Anolis sagrei: one gene and its partners. The protein of the gene in region 1 interacts with the protein of each later gene in a biochemical or structural test. Links are inferred from orthologs where the notes say so. Each region holds a gene or a part of one and is shown in the gene's direction. Other genes may lie near its edges.

Region 1 (7,786 bases):
CGTTAAGATCGTCTGGGGAGGCCCTGCTCTCGGTCCCGCCGGCTTCACAAGCACGCCTGGCAGGGATGAGAGACAGGGCCTTCTCAGTAGTGGCCCCTCGGCTGTGGAACGCCCTTCCTACAGACATTAGATCAGCCCCCTCCTTACTGGCATTCCGGAAGAGTGTGAAGACCTGGCTCTTCGAACAGGCTTTCAACTAAGCAGTACAATTGAGTGATTATTGGAATGGAATAATGGACAACGAGATTGGATGCTGATTCTATTGATGAGACGTGATGGATTGTTATATTGCTGTACTGTTGTATTGATTCTGGTGTTAATTAGTTGATATTACTGTTTTAATTGATTACTGATTTTGTATCGTCTTGTTGTAACCGGTTGTTAACCGCTCTGAGTCGCCTGAGGGCTGAGAAGAGCGGTATATAAATGAAGCAAATAAATAAATAAATAAATAAATAAATAAATAAATTGTAATTCATCTTGTAGCCACCAGAGATATTACCAAACTTCCCAAAACAAACAATGCCTTTCTCAAGTAACCAGGGCATTGCCGGGTCTCCAAGCTAGAGTGAGTGTGTGTGTGTGTGTGTGTGTGTGTGTGTATCACAGGCATGGACAAACCTTTTGACACATTGTGTTTTTAAAATTTGACAGATAGGCCAGGTCAGTGGCAGATACACAGTGTTTGTGTGAACTAATTGAAATTAAAACATGAACACATTCTTACGCACATTGCACATATCTTGTTGTGGTGCAAAGAAAAAGGAAAGAAAGAATAATACAGTATTTAAAATGAAGAACAATTTTAACCAACATAAATGTAACAGTATTTCAGTGGAAGACCCCAGGGGCTATCCAGTTCAATCCCCTTCTCCATGCAGGAAAAAAAATCAAAGTACCTCAACTGATGGCCATCCAGCCTTTGTAGTAGTAACAATAGTAGTAGTAGTAAATAATAACAACAACAGCAGCAGCAGCAGCAGCAATAAAGAGCAACCCCAAAGGCCAACTTTTAGCAAGGAAAAAAAGACTTTGGGGGGAAAGGGAGGGGGAGGATCAAGAAAGAGGAGGGAAATATTAGAGGGGAGGTGGAGTGCCTGAGAATGCTTCACAGAGCCCCAAAGTCTCCATGGAGTACACTGAGAACCACTGGACTAGAGACCCCATGGGCCATTTTCCCCTAGCTGCTTATTTAAGTAGCTTTTCTATCTCACATGTGAGTTGTATATTTTATCCAGTTCTCTCTATAACCATTAGGCTATTATCTCCAACACTTGGTGAACTCCCGTCTTCAAGAATAATGACTCCTTTCCCCACAAATTTCATTTTCAAGCCCTTCCAGTCATATTTGTGAGTGTCTTATCAACAAAAAAAATTCCTGCCAACTGTTGAGAAATGTTACCCATATCTTGCCAGACAACCATCCTCATGAAAGTACATACCATGGTCCAAGAAGCTAAAACTCATTACTAGCAGCACTATCTGTTGAGACAGTTGTTCATCTACACCAATGATTCTCAACCTGGGGTCCCCAGATGTTTTTGGCCTACAACCCCCAGAAATCCCAGCCAGTTTACATCTGGGGACCCCAGGTTGAGAACCACTGATACACTATTCTTCTTTCTCTACCTATGCCATATTCTTCAACTGGGAGCAAAAATGAAAAGATAATTTGTATATTGAGGCCATTTAGTTTCCTACTCAGAGCCATGTAATCCCTCGTGATATGCTGAAGGCTATACCTTATAATGTGATTGATTCTCATATTGAACAAAACCTAAGGTCAGTTGGCTTAACAAGCCTTGTCACCCACTTTGTTACATCACAGATTTCTTTCCACTTAGCAAGATAGCAAAACTTTGAAGTCATCCTATCAGGCTTACAAATCACTTCTGTTGCACTCAGCAGGGAGCCCCCTAACACCACCATATGTCCCCTTGGCAGTGGCCATTCCTTGTGCCACCTGCACATTTCCTGAGGACAGACACTGTTGCTTTTCTTCTTGCTATTCCTTATCATCACTGCTAGTAGAGAGTGCTTCTATTCAAATCTGTAGTTTCAAGCTCAAAAAATGATCCCTAGTCCTTCTACTTCTGTGTGTCCTCCAAATGTCATCCTCTTGCACTTGGTGTTATTGAGGACTCCCAACCCTACCCCTAATAAAAAGAAGACATAATTCAACCTCCATGGGAACTGCAGCTTCCCAAGAAAAGAAGTTCAGATGAACTAGAAATGGCCTCCATCCCCACAACCTTCTTGGCACTGACCAAGACCCACCTCCTCACCAATTGGAGACCTGGGGAATGCCGGCTGGCTTCTCGGCACTGGCCAGTCAGGGGAAAGGGAGGGAATTTCTAAATGTAGTAATGTTAATGCAAGAGAATTCTTGAGTATAATAATGTTTGGTTACGATTATGCTTTTACGCTTATACCTTTTGAGCATCCATGCTATATGAGTGTTCCTTTTGCACAAATTGAATAAAGGTCTTTGTCATTTGCCTTCCAAATGGTGAGATTCCTGGTTCCTGATTCATGCCATCCACAGTTAGCAAACCTAGATATTCCACTCCAAATTTCTGGCATCATTGCGACCTGATCCATTCCTCTGAAATGTTCATTGTATTTTTATCTTCCATAACTGTCTGCTCTGCTGTGTCCAAAAAGCTCATACTCCCTAACAGGCTGGAGCAATGTTTCTCGAACTCTGCTCCTCCAGATATTTGGACTTCAGCTTCCATAATTCCTAACAGCTGATAAGCTCCTGGGATTTCTGGGAGCTGAAGTCCAAAACACCTGGAAGACCAAAGGTTGAGAAACACTAGGGTGGAAAGTAGATACAAGTTGTTGGACCTTCTCTTCCAACGGAGGGCTAATTAATTGGAAAGATGTCAAGATCTCAATGTTCCAAATGACTTTTAACTGCAATGTTTTGTTAATGATGAGTTTAATAAAGACACTTCTCAAAAACAATCTGGACAAAGAAAATTGTTTTTTGGAAATTGTATCATGTTTGTATAATAACAATTTTAACAACAATAAATGGTCTAAAATTATTCTAGAGTTCATTTGTGATGGTTAAAACTAAAAAGAAGCTATTATATCTGATTTTATAAAACACTGTAGGCTTTTTTTAAAAAGCACATTCTAGCAATGTAAAATGAGAGTGGATCTGTCAAGACCCAGAAGCCTCAAGAATGACAAACACAGTATAAAAGGTCCAAACAAAGGTTTATTAAACACAAAAAGGCTTAGAGACACTTAACTCGGTGCCTCTAGCACAAACTAAGAGTCTATAGCAACTGCTAAGCAAAAAACCCAATTTAAAAATAATCTGGATTATACCAGAGTATAATCTGGGATAACAAAAAGTTACAGCAATCCACTTGAAAGGTCCAAAAAGCACAAGAAAACAAGGTGGGAGCATGCAAAATCAAAGTCCAAAAGCAGTCCAAAGTCCAGGCACATCCAAAATGAGATGAAGCAGTCCAAAAAGCAAAGTCATCATCAAAACACAGTCCAGAGTCAAAGGGGAGGTTGAAGTCAACACTTACGGAGTTTCAGCCAGAAGTCACGGAAACACGGAGATCTGTAGTCCAAGGGCCCAAACTTGAGAGTAATGACAGTAACAAAGATCCAAACCCAATAAGACACTTTGCCTTCTGCAAAGACCCATTGAATTCAAACCAACTTATATCCTATAACTCCTCACCAGAGGATGAACTGCTCCCCACCCTTTCATCATCACTTTCAGCTGCCCCATTCCCTGCAGCTGAGCACTGATGCCCATCTCTCCACCTTTGTCAGTGTCTTTCAAGACTTAGGTCTTCCCAAGTGTTCCCAGATTGCCATTCCTCTGCAAACCCCTCAATGTCATCACTGGATGTAGGCCGAGTACAGATGCCCCTAATCTCCTGCTACGGATCCAGTCTAAAGCATCCTCCTCCCCATCGTCACTCCCAGTCCCATTACTCCTTTGAAAACCCACAAAGTCTCCAACAGAAGATGAAGACTTTGTGGGTTTTCAAAGGAGTGATGGGAGTGATGCAGGAGATTAGGGGCATCTGTACTCAGCCTACATCCAGTGATGACTTTGAGGGGTTTGCAGAGGAATGGCAATCTGGGAACACTTGGGAAGACCTAAGTCTTGAAAGACGCTTCCTTTGGATCTCCTCATCTGATTCTTGAGTAGCCCACTTAACTCCCCTGCTTTCCTCTCCTTCCCCCATTTCACAATCTGAGAAACCCTCGAAGGACTCGGAATCAGTTGGAGCCATGAATATGTCTCTAATCCGCTTTCGCTGCTGCTGCTCCTCCAACACCTGCGCAGCCCTCTTCTCCCTTCTACCAGTAGTAGGAACGTTACTATCATGCTGTACTACAACAGGATCTTTAACATTTGGAGTAACACCAATCAGTCAGGTTTTTCAAGAGGTAACAGCAAGGGGGGGAAATCCCACAGAAATATGTATGTACCTGATAGAGAACAAAGTGTCTCCCAAAAATGGTCCACTTTTTGTGGCCTCAATTCAGAACTCTGTTTAACTGTTTGGAGAGGTCAAATGTGACTCACCTCTTCCTTCCTTCTGGGAACTTGGTATTGTTTGAGCAACTATGCATACAAACTCTATTCTTCCTGATATTTACTCTTTTCCCCCATCCTCCTGTTTTAAAGATTTCTCAACCTCACTAGACATTAGAATTATAAGGTCACCCTAGAGAACGTACCAGAAGTTAAGTCATGTGTACTATAATAGGCCTGATAATGGTTCAAAAGTACCAAGTCTTGCGGATTTTTGTATGACTGTCATTCATAAAATGCCACAAGATGGAAAGAAACAACTTTGGAGAGGTGATCTGAAAAGGTAACTTTAAATGTATTCTTGTTATCTAGTAAGTCAATAGGCAACGAGCTTATCATAAAACACCACAGTCCATGCTAATAAATGGTGAAATAGAAAGCCCCATTTTGCAATCCATAGATTTGTGCAAGCATGGGGATTAAGTAAACATGCTTACCTGTGTAGAGGGTTTTTCCTTACCCTGTTTTTTCTCAGCATTCTGAAGAGAAGATAAATCTGCTCTTTGTTCCCACCTTTGTATTTTTTTCACATCAAATGAATTATTTTATTTGAAACTGGATTGAGCTGGTAAGTAATGCTGCTTTACACCTTAATTTCCCCCACCTTTAGTGGTTGCTTTATTCAGTTGGTCTTCCTCCATGCTCTTGATGCAGCTGAATGAACTGTAATCATGTTTTCTTTGGGTGCTTCTACACAGACACTATAATGAATTTGAAGCCACCCTCAATTTGTGCTGTGGCACAGATCAAGCTAGAACTTGCACACTAAGGCCCCTTCCACACTGTCCTATATCTCAGGAACTGATTCCAGATTATCTTGTTATCCCAGCTTATCTGGCAGTGTAGACACATATAATCTATTTTAAAGTAGATAATCCAATCCTGAGATATAAGGCAGTGTAGAAGGGGCATTAGGTGAGCATTACAATTATTGTGTTGTCAAAGGCTTTTATGGCCAGAATCACTGGATTGCTGTGAGTTTTTCAGGCTGTATGGCCATTTTCCAGTAGCATTCTCTCCTGACATTTGCAGCATTCTCCCCTGACCCCTGAAAAATCCTCTGAGGATGCTTGTCATAGATGCAGGTGTAAGGTCAAGAGAGAATGCTACTGAAACACGGACATACAGCCCAAAAAACTCACAGCAACCCCATTACAATTATTGAAAGCAGAGATGGTTACATTGCAAAACCCGAGGCATAGTTATGCTGTTATGGATCTGGGTTAGAATCCCTGCATAATTTCCATTTAAGAAGGGCAAAATCTACCTTGAGAAGAGAAAAAGAATCACAAATTTGAAAGATCTGCATGTTCAAAAAGTTAGTTTCCATGCTCGTTGATACCTGCTTCAACCTTTATATCTCACCAGAGAATTTACTTGTCCGCTTTTATAATGATAATGACTCGGTGTGTGCAAATTTCCAGCAGTCAATTCTGATTGTGGCAAAATTCAGAGATTTGTGGATACAAACTGCCAAAACAAAACACTGGAAGGGCAAAATAGAACACACACAGAATTCCGGAAAAAGTTCATTAGCTTTGTTTATACTCTGATGGCTTCTTTTTCCATACTTAAAGAAGCAGCAGGTTGATGGGCATCACATGATCAGCCTCAGCCAAACACAAGCTGAATTTCCTCTCTATTGTCCTGGACTTCAAGATCCAGAATTCCCTGTTTTTTCCCTACAAGTTGTCTCCTCCTTTCAGAATGAGAGAGAGAAAAATTAAGAAATTCCTAATTATCAGTGGATGAATTGATCTTTCTGAAACTTGGCAGGAATTATGCCCTACTCCTGTTCAGTCACTGTGGAGAAAATCCAGGAGATACCTCCCTCTCTCCCTTTTTTTGGATTTTTTAAATGTTATTGGCAAAAACTTAAAACACTTCCCAAAACTAAGTGGATGAATTCTTGAATTCTTAATAATTTCAGTTCTTTACCTAGTATTTTATCTTTTGGTTGTTTATTATGTTCAAGTTCCTTTTCTTTAATTTTCAGTTGAATTTTGTGCAGTTTGACCCAGTTTATTTTCTTTTTTTATTACATTGAGTTGTATTAATTTACCCCTTATAAAACTTTGCCATATTCCAGAATGTATATGGTGACATTCAGAGAGTTGTGTTTAATTGTAGAAATCCTAAATATAGTTTTCACATTTCTTTAAGATTTCTTCTTTCTTGAGTAAATTGTCATTAAGCCTCTATATTCATTGTCTGTCTTGTCCTTTTAGTTTAATTGAAATGGAGACATAGTCTGACACCATCCTTGGGTGGAATACAAAGTTTCATATTTTATTTATTTATTTATTTCACACATTTCTACCCCACCCTTCTCAACCCCCGAGGGGGGACTCAGGGCGGCTTACAAAAGGCACAATTCGATGCCAACAACAATAAAATAAAACATGTATCAAAAGCAATTATAAAACACTTAAAACAGTTAAAACAATCAATAAAACCAATCTAATGTTCAACGTTCGCCAGCTCAGAATCCATAAATTCATTCCACATTGTCAAATCATATCAATTCTAGTCGTCATTGTCCTTTGTCTATCTGCCAGATTACCCAAAGGCCTGGTCCCATATCCATGTTTTTAGTTTCTTTCTGAAAGAGAGGAGGGATCTCGATGATCTGATTTCCCCGGGAAGTGAATTCCACAGGCAAGGGGACACCACCGAGAAGGCCCTACTCCTCGTCCCCACCAATCTCACTTGTGATCGAGGTGGGGCCGAGAGCAGGGCCTCCCCATAAGATCTTAAACTCGGCGGTACATAGAAGGAGATGCGTTCGGACAGGTACGCTGGGCCGGAGCCGTATAGGGTTTTGTAGGTCAAAACCAGCACTTTGAATTGTGCTCGGAACTGGATCGGCAACCAGCGGAGCTGACATAACAGAGGGGTGGTATGTTCCCTGTATGACACTCTGGTGAGTAATCTGGCCGACGCCTACTGGACTAATTGAAGTTTCCGAACAGTCTTCAAAGGCAACCCCACATAGAGTGTGTTGCAGTAATCTATTCGAGATGTAACAAGAGTGTGGACCACTACGGCCAGATCTGTTGTGTAGTAAGGCTTTTTGTGTCCCAGATTATATCAATTCTTGGCAGTCAATTGTGTCTGTCTGATAGGAATGTAAAGTCCTTTTTTGGATCCATGATGAATTTGCCATATGTCTATATGATCTAGATTAGTGGTTCCCAACATTTTTTT
Region 2 (7,808 bases), on another chromosome or scaffold:
ACGTTTCTTCTAGCTCATCATCCAAGTCACTGATAAAGATGTTGAATAACACTGGGCCCATGACAGAACCCTGTGGCACTCCGCTGGTCACTTCTCTCCAGGTTGAAGAGGAGCCTTTGCTTACTATCATACTTCAAAACTAGACAGAAAATCTCATCTTCTGCTCCAAAGCTGAACTGAAGTATAGTCTGGAGGTTTTTAAAGTAGGGTTGTCAAAGTCAAGATCAGAAGATGACTCCTCTACTTTTCATAGTTGGGAAGATGAGGGAATCTCAGCAATGCAGCCATGCTGAATTTCATCTGGTGACTATTAGCCTTCCCAACCTAGCTTTGTACAAGAGAGAAGAAAGGCAGAGACGGCAGGATTGGCCACAATGATCAGCAATTAATGTAACAGTTAACACATTTGGATTGATTGAAACATGCCAGATTTTGTCCCTGTTCTTTCCAGTTTTATATTGCTTAAAATAATCTGATTTAGGGAGCAGGTATAAAAACTCTTTGATTGCACCAAGAGGTGGCAGAATATATTCTGGGATACTGTATATAAGAAGCTAGCCATCCCCTGCCACACATTGCTGTGGTCCAGTCTGGTAATCTGGAAAATAAAGTAATGAGAAAGTGTTGGTTTCTAATATATGTAATTTGTTTATACTTGTGGGTAAACAGTATTTCTTGCTGTTTTCTTGTCATTGTTGATGTAGAGCAGGGGTCCTCAAACTAAAAACCTGGATGTGGGACCAGGCCTTTGGGTAAGCTGGCAGACGGACAAAGACAAGGATGACCAGAGCAGGAAAGGACAATGACAATGCTGGATGGATTATGAAATTATAAATCGGCGAGCATTGGCCACAGGATGATTTTATTACTGTTATTGTATTGATGTGATGTTTTAACTAGTGATAATTGTTGATGTTAAATTGTAAATTGTATATTGTACTTTGTGAATTGTTGGGCATCGAAATGTGCCTTTTTTGTAAGCCACCCTGAGTCCCCCCTAAGGGGTTGAGAAGGGCGGGGTAGAAGCACTCCAAATAAATAAATAAATAAATAAATAAGGCCCGGGGGCCAGATACAGCCCTCCAAGGTCATTTACCCGGCCCTCGCTCAGGGTCAACCTAAGTCTGAAACAGTTTGAAAGCATACAACAACAACAACAACAACCCTATCTCATCAGCCAAAAGCAGGCCCACATTTCCCATTGAAATACTAATGAGTTCATATTTGTTTAAATTATTCTTCATTTTAATTATTGTATTGTTTTAAAGTGTTTTTTTGCACTACAAATAAAATATGTACAGTGTGCATATCTTATTTCATTCATTCATTTTTCTTCAAATTATAATCCGGCCCTCCAACAGTTTGAGGGACTGTGACCTTATTATTATTATTAAACTTTATTTGTACCCCGCTAGCATCTCCCAAAGGGATTCGATGCGGCTTACAACAGGCCGGAGCCCAGCACAACACAATACAACAATACAACAATACAACAATACAATACATAGCAAATAAAACAGTTTAAGCAGAGAACAATGGCAATAAACAATACAACGGGACATATTAAAAAACTGAGCCGGCTGGAGTGGGGTACAGGGTTAAAAGTGCTGAAAAAAGTGACGGGGGGATATGAGATTAAAGTATAAGTGCGGTGTGCATTGGGAGTGGTCTTGACTCTACTAAAGTGCTTCTGGGCTTTGATAGTGGGGTTCCTAATCTGAGAAGGCACGTTGGAATAGCCAGGTTTTCAGTTTTTTTCTAAAAACCGCCAAGGTGGGGGCCTGTCTGAGATCTTTCGGGAGGGCATTCCAGAGGCGGGGGGCCACCACAGAGAAGGCCCTGTCCCGCGTCCCCACCAAACGCGCCTGTGAGGCGGGTGGGATCACGAGCAGGGCCTCTCCTGATGACCGGAGCGAGCGTGTGGGTTCGTAGACTGTGATGCGGTCTCAAAGGTAGGATGGTCCCAAACCGTTCAGGGCTTTGTAGGTAAGCACCTGCACCTTAAATTGGGCTCGGAAAATAAACGGCAGCCAGTGGAGCTCCTTGAACAGGAGGGTTGACCTCTCTCTGTAAGGGGCCCCCGTTAGCATCCTGGCTGCTGCCCGTTGGACCAGTTGGAATTTCCGAGCCGTTTTCAAGGGCAGCCCTACGTAGAGCGCATTGCAGTAGTCCAGTCTAGAGGTGACTAAGGCATGGACTACCCCGGCCAGATCAGCCTTCGTGAGGTACGGGCACAGCTGGCGCACAAGTCTCAGTTGTGCAAAAGCCCCCCCGGCCACTGCCGACGCCTGAGCCTCAAGCGTAAGCGATGAATCCAGGAGGACTCCCAAGCTAAGGACCTGTGGCTTCAGGGGGAGTGTAACCCCGTCCAACACAGGTTGCCACCCTATACCCCGGTCTGGTTTGCGATCAACCAGGAGGACCTCTGTCTTGTCGGGATTGATCTTCAGCTTGTTCGTCCTCATCCAGATGGACACAGCGGCCAGGCACTCGTCTAGCACCCGAGAGGCCTCCTTGGAATTAGGTGGAAAAGAGTAGTAGAGTTGTGCGTCATCTGCGTAGAGATGGCACCCAACTCCAAAACTCCGGACCTCTCCCAGCGGTTTCAAGCATGGGAGATAGAATAGAGCCTTGCGGGACCCCACAGGTCAAAGGCCAGGGGTCCGAGCAGGCATCTCCCAGCTTCACCATCTGGGTTCATCCCTCCAGGAAGGACCGGAGCCACGATAGAACCGTGCCCCCAAGGCCCATCCCCGAGAGCCGACCCAGAAGGATACCATGATCGATGGTATCGAAAGCCGCTGAGATGTCCAAGAGGACCAGCAGGGTTACACTCCCCCGGTCCAGTCCTCTACGGAGGTCATCCACCAAGGCGACCAAGGCTGTCTCGGTGCCATGACCAGGCCTGAAACCAGACTGTGCCCGATCCAGGTAATTGATGTCATCCAGGAAGCTCTGGAGCTGGAGGGCAACCACCCGCTCCAGCACCTTACCCAAAAAAGGGAGGTTGAAAATCGGTCTGTAATTGTTCAGCACTGTAGAGTCAAGGGATGACTTCTTCAGGAGTGGACGAACCACAGCCTGTTTCAAGCTGGATGGAAAAATCCCTTGCTCCAACGATGCATTGATGATCAACACAAACCAATCAACCAACCCCTCCTTGGCAGATTTAATAAGCCAGGATGGGCAAGGGTCAAGAGCCGAGGTGGTCGCCCTCACAGCCCCAAGAACCTCCCCCACGGTCTCAGGAAGAACCCTCTGTTTAAAAAGTTTGAGGACCCCTGATGTAGAGATTGTCTGGTTTGCCTACTCTGGAACATAAAGCATATAATTGTCCTTCTTTAGGGGTTCCTTTCAAATTTATGATACTGTATCTCTCATATATATAGTATATGTGCGTGTGTGTGAATCATATATATATATATCTATGGCTGGATGGCTCTTTGTCAGGAGGGCTTCAATTATACTTGCCCTGATGAAGGGAGTTGGACTGGATGGCCTTAAGGCAGCATTTCTCAAACTGGGGGTCGGGACCCCGGGGGGGAGGGGTCGTGAGGATGTCAGAAGGGTTGCCAAAGACCACCAGAAAACACAGTGTTTTCTGTTGGTCATGTGAGTTCTGTGTGGGAAGTTTAGCCCAATTCTATCGGTGGGGTTCAGAATGCCCTTTGATTGTAGGTGAACTATACATCCCAGTAACTACAACTCCCAAATGTCAAGGTCTGTTTCCCCCAAACTCCATCTGTGTTCATATTTGGGCATATGGAGTATTCGTGCCAAGTTTGGTCTAGATCCTTCATTGTTTGAGTTCACAGTGCTCTCTAGATGTAGGTGAACTACAACTCCAAAACTCAAGGTCAATGCCCACCAAACTCCTCTAGTGTTTTCTGTTGGTCATGGGAGTCCTGTGTGCCAAGTTTGATTCAATTCCATCATTGGTGGAGTTCAGAATGCTCTTTGATTGTAGGTGAACTATAAATCCCAGCAACTACAACTCCCAAATGACAAAATCAATTTTTTGAGTGATGGACACTCCTTGGGTTAGTAGGTGTCTTGTGGCCAAATTTGGCAGCAATTCGTCCAGCAGATTTTGAGTTATGATATCACTCAAAATGAACAGAGCAGATAGATAGATAGTAGGGCTGGGCGGTTTCATTTCGTTAATTCGTAATTCGTTAAAAATTCGGTTTTTTTTATAACGAAGCAATAATGAACCATTCTGGAGCAACTTAAAAACGGAACGAATTTTTAAATTCGTTTCGTAAATGCTTTGGATTCATTATGTATTTGTTTCGTTATCGGTTTGAGGTCGTTTCGTTATTATTTCCGCATGTCTGGGGCAAGTTTTATAGTTGTTTTTTGTTTAATTAGTGAAAAAAAATTATAATATCACACCAACAGTCAACAACAGAGGGAGAGGGAAGCTTCAGAAGTTCCCCCTGTCCCATTTGGAGGTTTTTTAGCGTATTGCGCGGTCGCATCCGCCATTAACGAATCGATTCGTTATTGTTTCGTATTTGTTTCGTTAATGTTTCGTAATTTTTTAACATTTATGAAATTTCGTAAATATCGAACTTTTTAAAAGAAATATTTCGGAATTCTTTTAAATATCGAAACGCAAAAACCCCCAAAAAACGAATTGATTTTTAGAAACAAATTTTTCCGTTGTTACCCAGGCCAGATAGATAGATAGATAGATAGATAGATAACAGAAACAAAGTCTAGGACTTCCTAGTCTTTTTTATCAGCCTGGATGCACTTTCGGGGCCCTTCTACACAGCCATATAACCCAGAATATCAAGGCAGAAAATCCCACAATATCTGCTCTAAATTGGGTTAGCTCGGTCCACACTGCCACATATTCCAGTTCAAAGCAGAAAATACGGGATTTTATTCAGCTGTGTGGAAGGAGCCTTAGTGTTTGATGTGGGATGCTAAATTTCAGAAATGGGACTCACATAGTGTTAAATCAATCTTACATGATATACTGAAAAATTTTGCTCTGAATTTAGAGTGAAGACGTGTTTGCAGTGATAGCACTCTCAGTGCTAGGTAGCATTTTATGTACTTCTCAGTCTAGTTCACATTGGTGTTCCTCTCTGAAAGCCCCAGTTTTAATTGTGGGTTCTTTGTTTTGTTTTTTTTTCCTTCCTCTTCTGTGATTATATATCTTTACTGAGTTCTGAAACTCATGCAGACTTAAGATCTGAATGAGAACTATGATTCCTGCCTACTCACTAAGCCTGTTGTGGGTTTTAACTACATTCTTTACTGTTACCCTTGAAGACCAAGGTAAGAATTTAGAATATGACGTTTTGCTTAGTTCTTTCCTTCCACCCTTCCACCTCTCTCCTTTCGTTGTTGTTTTTTTGTTTGTTTGTTTGTTTTTTTGCTTCCTTTGCCCTTTGTCTTCCTTACGCTTGCCAAAAGTGTCAGTGCAATGTACAACATATCCAGTGTGCTGTTGAACTGGCCAATGATATTCCTGGTATCTATTCTCTGAGTAACTTTCACGGGGAGAAAAATCCTTGGACAGAATCTGCAAAAACAATGGCAGAAGAGGGAATGGGAGTTAATTTCTTTTTTATTAGTTTCAGGTGGCCCAGGAATAATATTTGTGCACTAGTCTTCAGAACAATGTGTATCAATAGATATAATTGCATTTAGTATCTTGGGGATACAAGTTGTTATCAGGATATAAATCTCAATAAGCAGTGCTATGCTCTGAGAGAGGGCTCTTCCACACAGCTATATAACCCAGAATATTAAGGTAGAAAATCCCACAATATCTGCTTTAAACTGGGATATATGGCAGCATGGACTCAGGTAACCCAGTTCAAAGCAGATATTTTGGGTATGTATATATATATATATATGTATATATATATATATATATATATATATATATATATATATATATGGCTGTGTGGAAGGACTCGGAGACAGAAAAAGAAATGTACTTGGCAGGCACTGTGTATGGCAGTTAATTCAATTAGATCCTAAAGAGAAAGGGTTAGATGCAAGAATTACTTTACTTACTTAGGCGATTCCTCGTTGTCCGAGTAAGATTGTCCTCCAAGTACAGTGTCCTGGCAGTGGGTCCATAGGTGACTGTGGAGCCCTAATCTTGACCTGCATGTTCTCCCACAGTGAGGGCATTGGTTTCCAGGTGGAAGGTGGTCCCGGTTGGGGTTGGTTTGATGCGCCTTCCTCTTGGCACGTTTCTCCCTTTCGCCCTTCATTCATGCCTCTTCAAATTCTACAGCACTGCTGGTTACAGCTGACCTCCAGCTGGAGTGCTCAAGGGCCAGGGCTTCCCAGTTCTCAGTGCCCATGCCACAGTTTTTAAGGTTGGCTTTGAGCCCATCTTTAAATCTCTTTTCCTGCCCTCCAACATTTCGTTTTCCATTCTTGAGTTTGGACTAGACCAACTGCTTTGGGAGACGGTGATCGGGCATTCAAACAACGTGGCTGGTCCAGCGGAGTTGATGGCGGGGGACCATAGCTTCTATGCTAGTGGTCCTTGCTTCTTCCAGCACACTGACATTTGTTTGCCTGTCTTCCTGAGAGATTTGCCATATTTTTTCGGAGGCAATGCTGATGGAATCATTCCAGGAGTTGCATGTGACGTCTGTAGATAGTCCACATTTCGCAGACATATAGCAGGGTTGAGAGGACAATTGTTTTATAAACAAGCACCTTGGTATCCCTACGGATGTCCCGGTCCTCAAACACTCTCTGCTTCATTTAGAAAAATGCTGCACTCACAGAGCTCAGGTGGTGTTGTATTTCAGTGTCAATGGTGACTTTTGTGGAGAGGTGGCTGCCAAGGTAGTGGAAATGGTTAACATTTTCTAATGTTACACCATTAAGTTGTATTTCTGGCATTGCTCATTTAGAAGAAGACCTACAAACCACTCTAAACACCTTCATAGAAGCATATAAGAAGCTTGGCCTGTTAGTGAACATCGAGAAAACCAAAGTGCTCTTCCAGCAGTCACCAGCCAATCTGTCTGCAATGCCAGATGCAAGAATACAGTTTTGCTTGTTGAAGCAGTCTTAGGAACTGTGCTCTTTTTGCAGTTTTGTTAATTGGTATACCACAGTGATGTTGTTAGACCTTATGCAGCTTTTGTACTGTCGATATAGTTGCAGGCAACAGCCAATGTAAGAACTTTCTCCATTCAGAGATTTCTCAGATATTTGGGGCTGATTGTGTTTTTATTACCATGTCTGAATATGATGAAAAAACATGATTTCTTTTTGCTGATAATGTGTACCATTTATTACTTAAGAATACTATATATACTAATGTAAAAAGTTGTTGGTTTCATATATTCTCCAAACTTTTAATATTTCAAGTTGAAGCTGACATTCATATTCTGAAGTACTGTGATCTTTCTACAGATGATGTGTATATTTTTCACCTGTTTTTTGAGTGCTTATAAAGGGTAGCTCAGGGCCTAATAAGGAAAGAAAGTGTGAACAACCACAATTTACTTTCATCAAAATGTTAGATTTGCATGAGCATACAACAATAGCAAGAGGAAACCACCAGTGACGTTTCTGAAGGAAGTCTAGCAAAGTACTCAAATTCCCCAGTGGATTACAGGAAATACAGCAATCTAAAAAGTCCCATCTCATTGCTTATGCTACTCCTTTTAAAAAGGCTTCTCATTAATAAGTTTTCTTCATGTTTCTGTGTGAACTTATATTGAAAAGATAACTCCCTCCACTATGGGATGGTAAGCATTAGGTTCTCACATACTGAAATTACCTGTGGTGTTACCACTTTATTAGCAGTTAAT
Region 3 (7,804 bases), on another chromosome or scaffold:
TATTTTCATTGAGGGTTTCAGCCTGATGGTTGCCTTCAAAGGACCATTGACTCCATGAATACAGAGGACCAACTATATATATATACTAGCCATCCCTTGCCACACATTGTTTTGGCTCAGTCTGGTGATCTGGAAAATAAAATAATGAGCAAATGTTGATTTCTAATATATGTAATGCCTTTATGCTTGTGGGTAAACAGTATTTCTTGTTGTTTCTTTGTCAGTGTTGATATGGAGATTGTCTGGTTTGCCTACTCTGGAACATGCAACATATAATTGTCCTTCTTTAGGGGTCCCTTTCAAATCTATGATACTATATCTCTCTCTCTGTGAATCATATATATCTATCTATATCTATGGCTGGATGGCTCTTGTTCAGGAGGGCTTTGATTACATTCTCTTGCCCTGGTGAAGGGAGTTGGACTGGGTGGCCTGAAGTATTTTCTGTTGGTCATGGGGGTTCTATGTGGTAAGTTTGCCCCAATTCTGTCATTCGTAGAGTTCAGAATGCTTTGTGTTTGTAGGTGAACTATAAATCCCAGTAACTACAACTCCCAAATGTCAATGCCTATTTTCCCCAAACTCCATGTTCATATTTGGGCATATGGAATATTTGTGCCAAGTTTGATCCAGATCCATCATTGTTTGAGTCCACAGTGCTCTCTGATGTAGGTGAACTACAACTCCCAAACTCAAGGTCAATGCCCACCAAACCCTTTGAGTGTTTTCTGTTGATCATGGGAGTCCTGTATGCCATGTTTGATTCAATTCCATCATTGGTGGAGTTCAGAATGCTCTTTGATTGTAGGTGAACTACAAATCCCAGCAACTACAACTCCCAAATAACAAAATCATTTTTTTTAGTGAAAGACATACATTGGGTTGTTAGGTGTACACTGTCCAAATTTGGTGTCAATTCGTCCAGTGGTTTTTGAGTTATATTAATCCCACGAACGAACATTACATTTTTATTTATATAGAGATATTTACATAGTGGTTGGGTCTCTTTAGTTTTTACCCATTTTGGGCCCCTGGATGTTAGGGAATGACAATTCCCAACACTTTTGATTATATGCCATGCAGACTGAGGATAATGGGTCTGGCAATCCAACAACCCTTGAGGGTCTAAGATTGGGGAAATGTTAGCGGACATGTTAAAGTCAGACATCATATCCACAAGTCTTGTACCTAAATCCAACCCTGACTCTCGTGACTAAACAAAACAAACTGCAGCCTTCCAGGTGTTACTATATCACAACTCTCATCAGCTCTAATAACAAAAAATATAGGAGCTGTAGTCAGGCATCTGCAGGACAACATTAAATGATATGAAGGGCCTTGAGTTTGACACAAGTGGTTTCAATGATGATGCCAGTAACACAAAACAAACCAGAAAAGAGCAAAGGGTGGGAGAAGTGAGAAAACACAATATTAATGCAGAATATCAAACTATTGAGTGAGTCACCCAGTGGCTTCCATGGCCGAGCTGGGATTCAGACCATGGCCTACAGAGCCATAACCTAATGCTCAAACCACTAAGCCACAATGGTCCTCTAATAAATGGCAGACCTTTAAGGTCTAGTAAGGAGACTCTGTTCTCCACACAGTCCAGGGCCATCATGCATTTAAAAGCCACCAGAGAAAGCACATTCTCGAGAGTGGCTCCAAAGCTGCTGGAGGAAGTTTGATCAGCTTCCACACTGATGTCATTCAGGAAAGCTGTGCAGATCTTCCTTTTTGAAGCAGCTTTTAATCGAAGCCAGGCATTTTATGGTCAGGAATTTGTCAATGGTTATTATTTAAATAAAATGTTTATTATTTAAATAATAATCTTCAGACCTTCCTGTTCAAGCAAGCTTTTAATGAAGATATTTAATTTGGAATGACAGGAAGGCTATATCTTTCAGTGAGTTGAGTAAAGTTTATCATCTGTATTGAGGAGTTCCCACAACAATTGTATTTATATCTGTTAAATAATTTTAAAATGTTTATTTATGCTTTATTGTAAAGTTGGTTTTATAGGTTATTGCTATATGTATGGTCAATTTGTTATTAGCATAGTACAATATCAGGTGTCAAACAGGGATGTGTTATTGCCCCAACTTTATTCTCCATCTTCATCGCTATGATACTTCATCTTGTTGATGGGAAGCTTCCCAGCGGAGTGGAAATCATCTATCGGACAGATGGCAAGCTGTTTAACCTCAGCAGACTGAAAGCCAAAACCAAGGTTACAACAACATCTGTTACAGAACTCCAGTACGCTGATGACAATGTCGTCTCTGCGCATTCAGAAGAAGATCTACAAGCCACTCTAAACACTTTCGCAGAAGCATACGAGAAGCTCGGCCTGTCATTGAACATCGGGAAAACCAAAGTGCTCTTCCAACAGTCACCAGCCAACCCCCCTCCAGTGCCAGAAATACAGCTTAATGGTATAACATTAGAAAACGTTGACCATTTCCGCTACCTTGGCAGCCACCTCTCTACCAAAGTCAACATCGACACCGAAATGCAACACCGCCTGAGCTCTGTGAGCACAGCATTTTTCCAAATGAAGCAGAGAGTGTTTGAGGACCAGGACATCCATAGGGATACCAAGGTGCTTGTTTATAAAGCTATTGTCCTCCCAACCCTGCTATATGCCTGTGAGACGTGGACAGTCTACAGAGGTCACATGCAACTCCTGATACGATTCCATCAGCGCTACCTCCAGAAAATCCTGCAAATCTCTTGGGAAGATAGGCGGACAAATGTCAGCGTGCTGGAAGAAGCAAAGACCACCAGCATTGAAGCGATGGTCCTCTGCCATCAACTCTGCTGGACCGGCCACGTTGTCCAGATGCCTGACCACCATCTCCCAAAGCAGTTGCTCTACTCTGAACTTAAGAATGGAAAACAGAATGTTGGTGGACAGGAAAAGAGATTTAAAGATGGGCTCAAAGCCTAACTTAAAATCTCTGGCATAGACACTGAGAACTGGGAAGCCCTGGCCCTTGAGTGCTCCAGCTGGAGGTCAGCTGTGACCAGCAGTGCTGCAGAATTTGAAGAGGCACGAATAGAGGGTGAAAGAGAGAAATGTGCCAAGAGGAAGGCACGCTAAGACAACCCCGACTGAGACCACATTCCACCTGGAAACCAATGCCCTCACTGCGGGAGAAGATGCAGATCAAGAATAGGGCTCCACAGACACTTATGGACCAACCACCAGTACATTAATCCTGGAAGACTATCCTGCTTGGACAACGAGGGATCGCCTAAGTAAGTAAGTAATTATTAGCATAGTACAATATCAGTACTATGCCATTATATTGTAATATTATTAGTGATATTACATGTAATATGGAATACATAATTATAATATTGTATTAGTAGTAGTATTATATTGTATTACATTTTAATATTATAAATATTAGATGTATATACAATATATCATAAGTAAAGCACAAGTGCTTGGAGAGCTGGAACCAATCTTTCTCATGGGCAGACGCAACCTGGAACCCCCATTATGCTCCTTTCAGATGGAAAGGAGATTCCAGCAGAACATTATTTATTTATTTATTTACTACACTTCTATGCCACCATTCTCAGCCCGAGGGCGACTCATGGCGGTTTACAAAACGGCACAATTCGATGCCCACAACAGTACAAAAATAGTTTAAACATTAAAAACATTTAACACAGATTTAAAAAATCATTACAATTAACATCAATAAACATAATAAAAAACCATAAGTCCTCCACATTTCATTAATCAGTCATTGTCCAGTCACATTGTCCAACCGTTCCGAGATCAGAGTTTCAAAGCTACACTGCCTTTGGGAAGGCCTGCTCATATAGCCAGTTTTTAACTTTTTTGCGAAATGTTAAGAGGGTGGGGGCTGATCTATTGTCCCTGGGGAGGGCATTCCACAACCGAGGGGCCACCGCTGAGAAGGCCCTATCCCTCATCCCCGCTAATCGAGCCTGTGAAGATGGCAGGGCCGAGAGCAGGGCCTCCCTAGAAGATCTTAAATTCCTAAAGGGTTTGTAAGGAGAGATACGTTCTGACTTTGAGAGCTGTTCAGCAGTGGAACTCTCTGCCCCGGAGTCTGGTGGAGGCTCCTTCTTTGGAGGCTTTTAAACAGAGGCTGGATGGGGGTGCTTTGAATGCAATATTCCTGCTTCTTGGCAGGGGGTTGGACTAGATGTCCCATGAGGTCTCGTCTAACTCTATTTATTTGTCCTGTCAGAGCAACCAGTCCATTATATTACAAGCAAGCAAACAGACAAATACAAAACTTGTGAGTTTGGTAGTTGGTTAAATGTCCTTTGATGTCCTGGCCACTGGTCTAACTCTATGATTCTATGATTCCCACTCTCCAATGTGCTTTCACCCTCCTTTCAGAGCCTTGCAATGAATGGGTGTAAGAAGCGAGGAAAGCGGCCTTGAGCTGGCCCTTTAAATCCCGCCGGGGTCACGTGGGGCTTGTGCAAAAAAAAAAAGAAAAAGGAAGAGTGACGCACACAAGGCGATAGGGAGGGGGCGGCTCCCCCCGAACGCGTGGTCGTGCCCCATTGGCCAGAGGTAGTATCCAATCAGAAGCGGCCATCTGGGACGCCAACGTTCGGGGGCGCTGCCCAACCCGCCGTCTTTCCGACCGACCAATGGCAGTGTCCATCCGGCCCGGCGCGAGCAATCGGGACACGGCGGAGGCGGGCGTTCGATCCAGCCCGGTATAAAAGGGCAGCGAAAGCACTTCGCTGGCCGCAGTCGGTTGCCCTTGTCAGGCTCGAGGAGGAGAACCTTGCGCGCGGGGAAAAGACATGGCTCTCTTCTTGGCCTTCTGCTCCATGCTGGCCCTGGTGTCGGCTGGGCCTGCGCAGTACTTCCGGGAGGAGTTTGGGGATGGAGGTGAGCGGCGAGGAAATGAATGGGGGCCTCCAGCAGGGATGGGCCCATCTCAGGGAGGGAGAGAGGATGGGTGGGTGAGGGATATTTCTGGAGCCCTTCTATCCAGGGGTCGTTAGGAGGGTAAAATCACAACAGTAGGCCTCTAAGAGGAGTGCAACAAAAGGGGAGGGGGATGGAGAGAAGCAGGGCTGAGCCTGGGTTGGTCTTTCTCTTGTCTTCATCCCCCCGCCATCTTGGATTGTGGCCATCTAGGGCTCGAGGAAGGCTGGGGGTGACATTGCAGTTTCCCCATAGACAACCCCATAGTAGAGATGGAGGCTTTTGGGAGGGGAGGGGATCAATCCCCTCTAGGCTGGCACAGAGTTCCCCTTAGAGAGAATTGTGCCATGATGGTTCAGGTTCTGCTCCAAGTAAAGAGTGGCTGAGAAACCTGGATGCCTGGCCAAGAATGTAAAAACGAATGGGAATGGATATATATTATGAAGGAGGCAACTGACTGCTTAATTTGGGGATGGGGTAGGGCATTTACTGGAGGGCTTTCAAGGGAGGAAAATGGGAGAGCTCTGTTCATATCCATCCTGTTTTGCTTTCCAAGCCACTCATGATGTGTGAAATACCTCTGAGGATGCTTGCCAGAGATGCAGGCGAAACGTCAGGAGAAAATGCCTCTAGACCATGGTCATATAGCCTGAAAGCTACAACAACCTAGTGATTCCAGCCATGAAAGCCTTCGACAGTACATTCTCCTAGGATCCTTTTTTGCCCTGTGATAAGTCTGTAGGTAAAGAATTCAGAGATGATTTTCCCAGTTCTTTCCTCAGAAATACAAGCTATAGTAACTAGGATTCATTAGTGGTCTCCCATTCAAGGAGTAACCAGAAATGTCCCAGCTTAACTACCAAGATCAGAAAGGGTCTGCAGCTTTTAGGTTTGCTTGCTTTTGCATTCGCATGCCTACCCCAGAGTATAAGTGTACCAGGAAATGCAAAAAATATTGATGACAGGAGGAAGGATTCCAGATATGTTGAATCTACAGTCACTGGCCCTTTCTACATTGCCATTTAAAATCCAGATTATCTGCTTTGACCTGGATTATATGGCAGTGTAGACTCATAAAATCCAATTCATAGCCATATAGCCCGGAAAACCTACAACAACCCTGTGAAATATCTTGTTTGAATTGTGGGTTCTTAGGATCCAAGAATAAATACAAATAGGAATATATATGAGGGAGGCAACTTGCTGCTTAATTGGGAGGGGGTGGGCTTTTTCTCAAGGGAGGAAAAGGAAGAGCTCTGCTCATGTCCACCCTATTTTTAAGTGGCCACTCATGAATTTATTGTCGAAGGCATTCATGGCTGGAATCACTGGGTTGTTGTAGGTTTTTGTTTTTTTTTTGTTTTGTTTTGTTTTTTGTTATATGGCCATGTTCTACAGGCATTCTCTCCTGACATTTCACCTGCATCTATGGCAAGCATCCTCAGAGGTAGTGAGGTCACCTCTCTGGATGTGATTGGATCACACACTCAAGTATTTGTCTCTCTTGGGCATCTGTTCCTTTCAGCCACAAGAATCACAACCTTAAAATGAATGGTTAGTATATACCAAAACATTATTTGATTCAACTAAATATACACAGAGTTGATTTATCTTAATTCGTTAATTGACTCAAAGATCTGCTCTATAAGGCATTTAGCCCAAAACATCTAAGGAGGAATTATTTGTTAAACTTTGCATCAAAAAGGAAAAGTATTGTCGAAGGCTTTCATGTCCTGAATCACTGAGTTGTTATAGGGCTTTTTGGGCTATATGGCCATGTTCTAGAGCCATATATCCCAGAATATCGAGTCAGAAAATCCCACAATATCTACTTTTGACTTATCTGAATCCACACTATCTCTGAGGATGCTTACCATAGATGCAGGCAAAACATCAGGATAGAATGCCTCTAGAACATGGCCATAAAGCCCGGGAAAAACGTACAACAACCCACTCATGAATTGTGTGTGCTTATGATCCATTTGGAAGAGGAAATTGAGAACTTGGCAGTATGTGTGACAGGAAAAAGACTGTTGTGTCTAGTTTAAACGCACTGGGGAGTTGATAATTACACTGTAATCAATGAGGGCCACAGGGATTGTGAATGTGGACTAAATAGTTCACTCTGGGATGTCTCTCCCGACACACACGTACCGCCTGTTGGCAGAGGATCAAGAGTGACAGGTGTATGCTTCCTCAGTCTGGGACTACACTGAGGGCCCTTCCACACAGCCATATATCCCAGAATATCAAGTCAGAAAATCCCACAATATCTACTTTTGACTTATCTGAATCCACACTGTCATATATCCCAGTTCAAAGCAGAAAAAGTGGGATTTTATTCAGCAGTGTGGAAATAAGAGAACTATTGTGCTTATTTCATTGCAGTTATTTCTCTGGTCTATATGTGTGTGAGTGTATGTGCAGTCAAAGCATAGAATGTGGTTTGCAGTGTGAAATAAACTTAGGGCCCTTCCACACTGCTCTTTATTTCAGGAGCTGATCCCAGATTATTTACTTTAAATTGGGATATATGAGGGTCTACTGATCTGGGATCAGATCCTGGGATATAGGGGCAGGGTGGAAGGGCCCTTACATGCAACAGCAATTTGGTGTATAGGTTATTAAGACCGTTCTGATGATAGTGTAGCGTTTGTATAATAAGATGTGGGTCTCCCAGGTAGATTTGGCTGAATTGGTGATATTTAGGTAAGCCCAGTGCGACCTAGAGATGCTTATTTTCTAAAGAATCCTGTGTCCAATTTTATTCCACGATGGAGTAGAAAATTAAAAAATAAAGGATTGTCTTCTAGTTTGTCTTGAATGTTCTGTGCATTTGCATAGAAATGAATACCATTGAGCAGATTGTAT

The links.
Region 2: the proteins of MBL2 (region 1) and complement receptor type 1 interact in a biophysical measurement, tested with the Homo sapiens proteins (2 studies listed by IntAct). The link is inferred for Anolis sagrei from reciprocal best matches to the Homo sapiens genes MBL2 and CR1.
Region 3: the proteins of MBL2 (region 1) and CALR form a complex in vitro, tested with the Homo sapiens proteins (2 studies listed by BioGRID and IntAct). The link is inferred for Anolis sagrei from reciprocal best matches to the Homo sapiens genes MBL2 and CALR.

The regions. Positions count from the first base shown.
Region 1 is NC_090023.1:155,059,005-155,066,790, forward strand, and holds the start of MBL2 (mannose-binding protein C), read left to right. Parts: upstream 1-4,716; 5' UTR 4,717-4,862; intron 4,863-4,993; exon of another isoform or gene 4,994-5,147; intron 5,148-7,786. UniProt on the Homo sapiens protein: Calcium-dependent lectin involved in innate immune defense. Binds mannose, fucose and N-acetylglucosamine on different microorganisms and activates the lectin complement pathway.
Region 2 is NC_090024.1:196,472,701-196,480,508, forward strand, and holds the start of complement receptor type 1, read left to right. Parts: upstream 1-4,715; 5' UTR 4,716-5,210; coding exon 5,211-5,292; intron 5,293-7,808.
Region 3 is NC_090022.1:162,448,716-162,456,519, forward strand, and holds the start of CALR (calreticulin), read left to right. Parts: upstream 1-4,722; 5' UTR 4,723-4,806; coding exon 4,807-4,894; intron 4,895-7,804. UniProt on the Homo sapiens protein: Calcium-binding chaperone that promotes folding, oligomeric assembly and quality control in the endoplasmic reticulum (ER) via the calreticulin/calnexin cycle.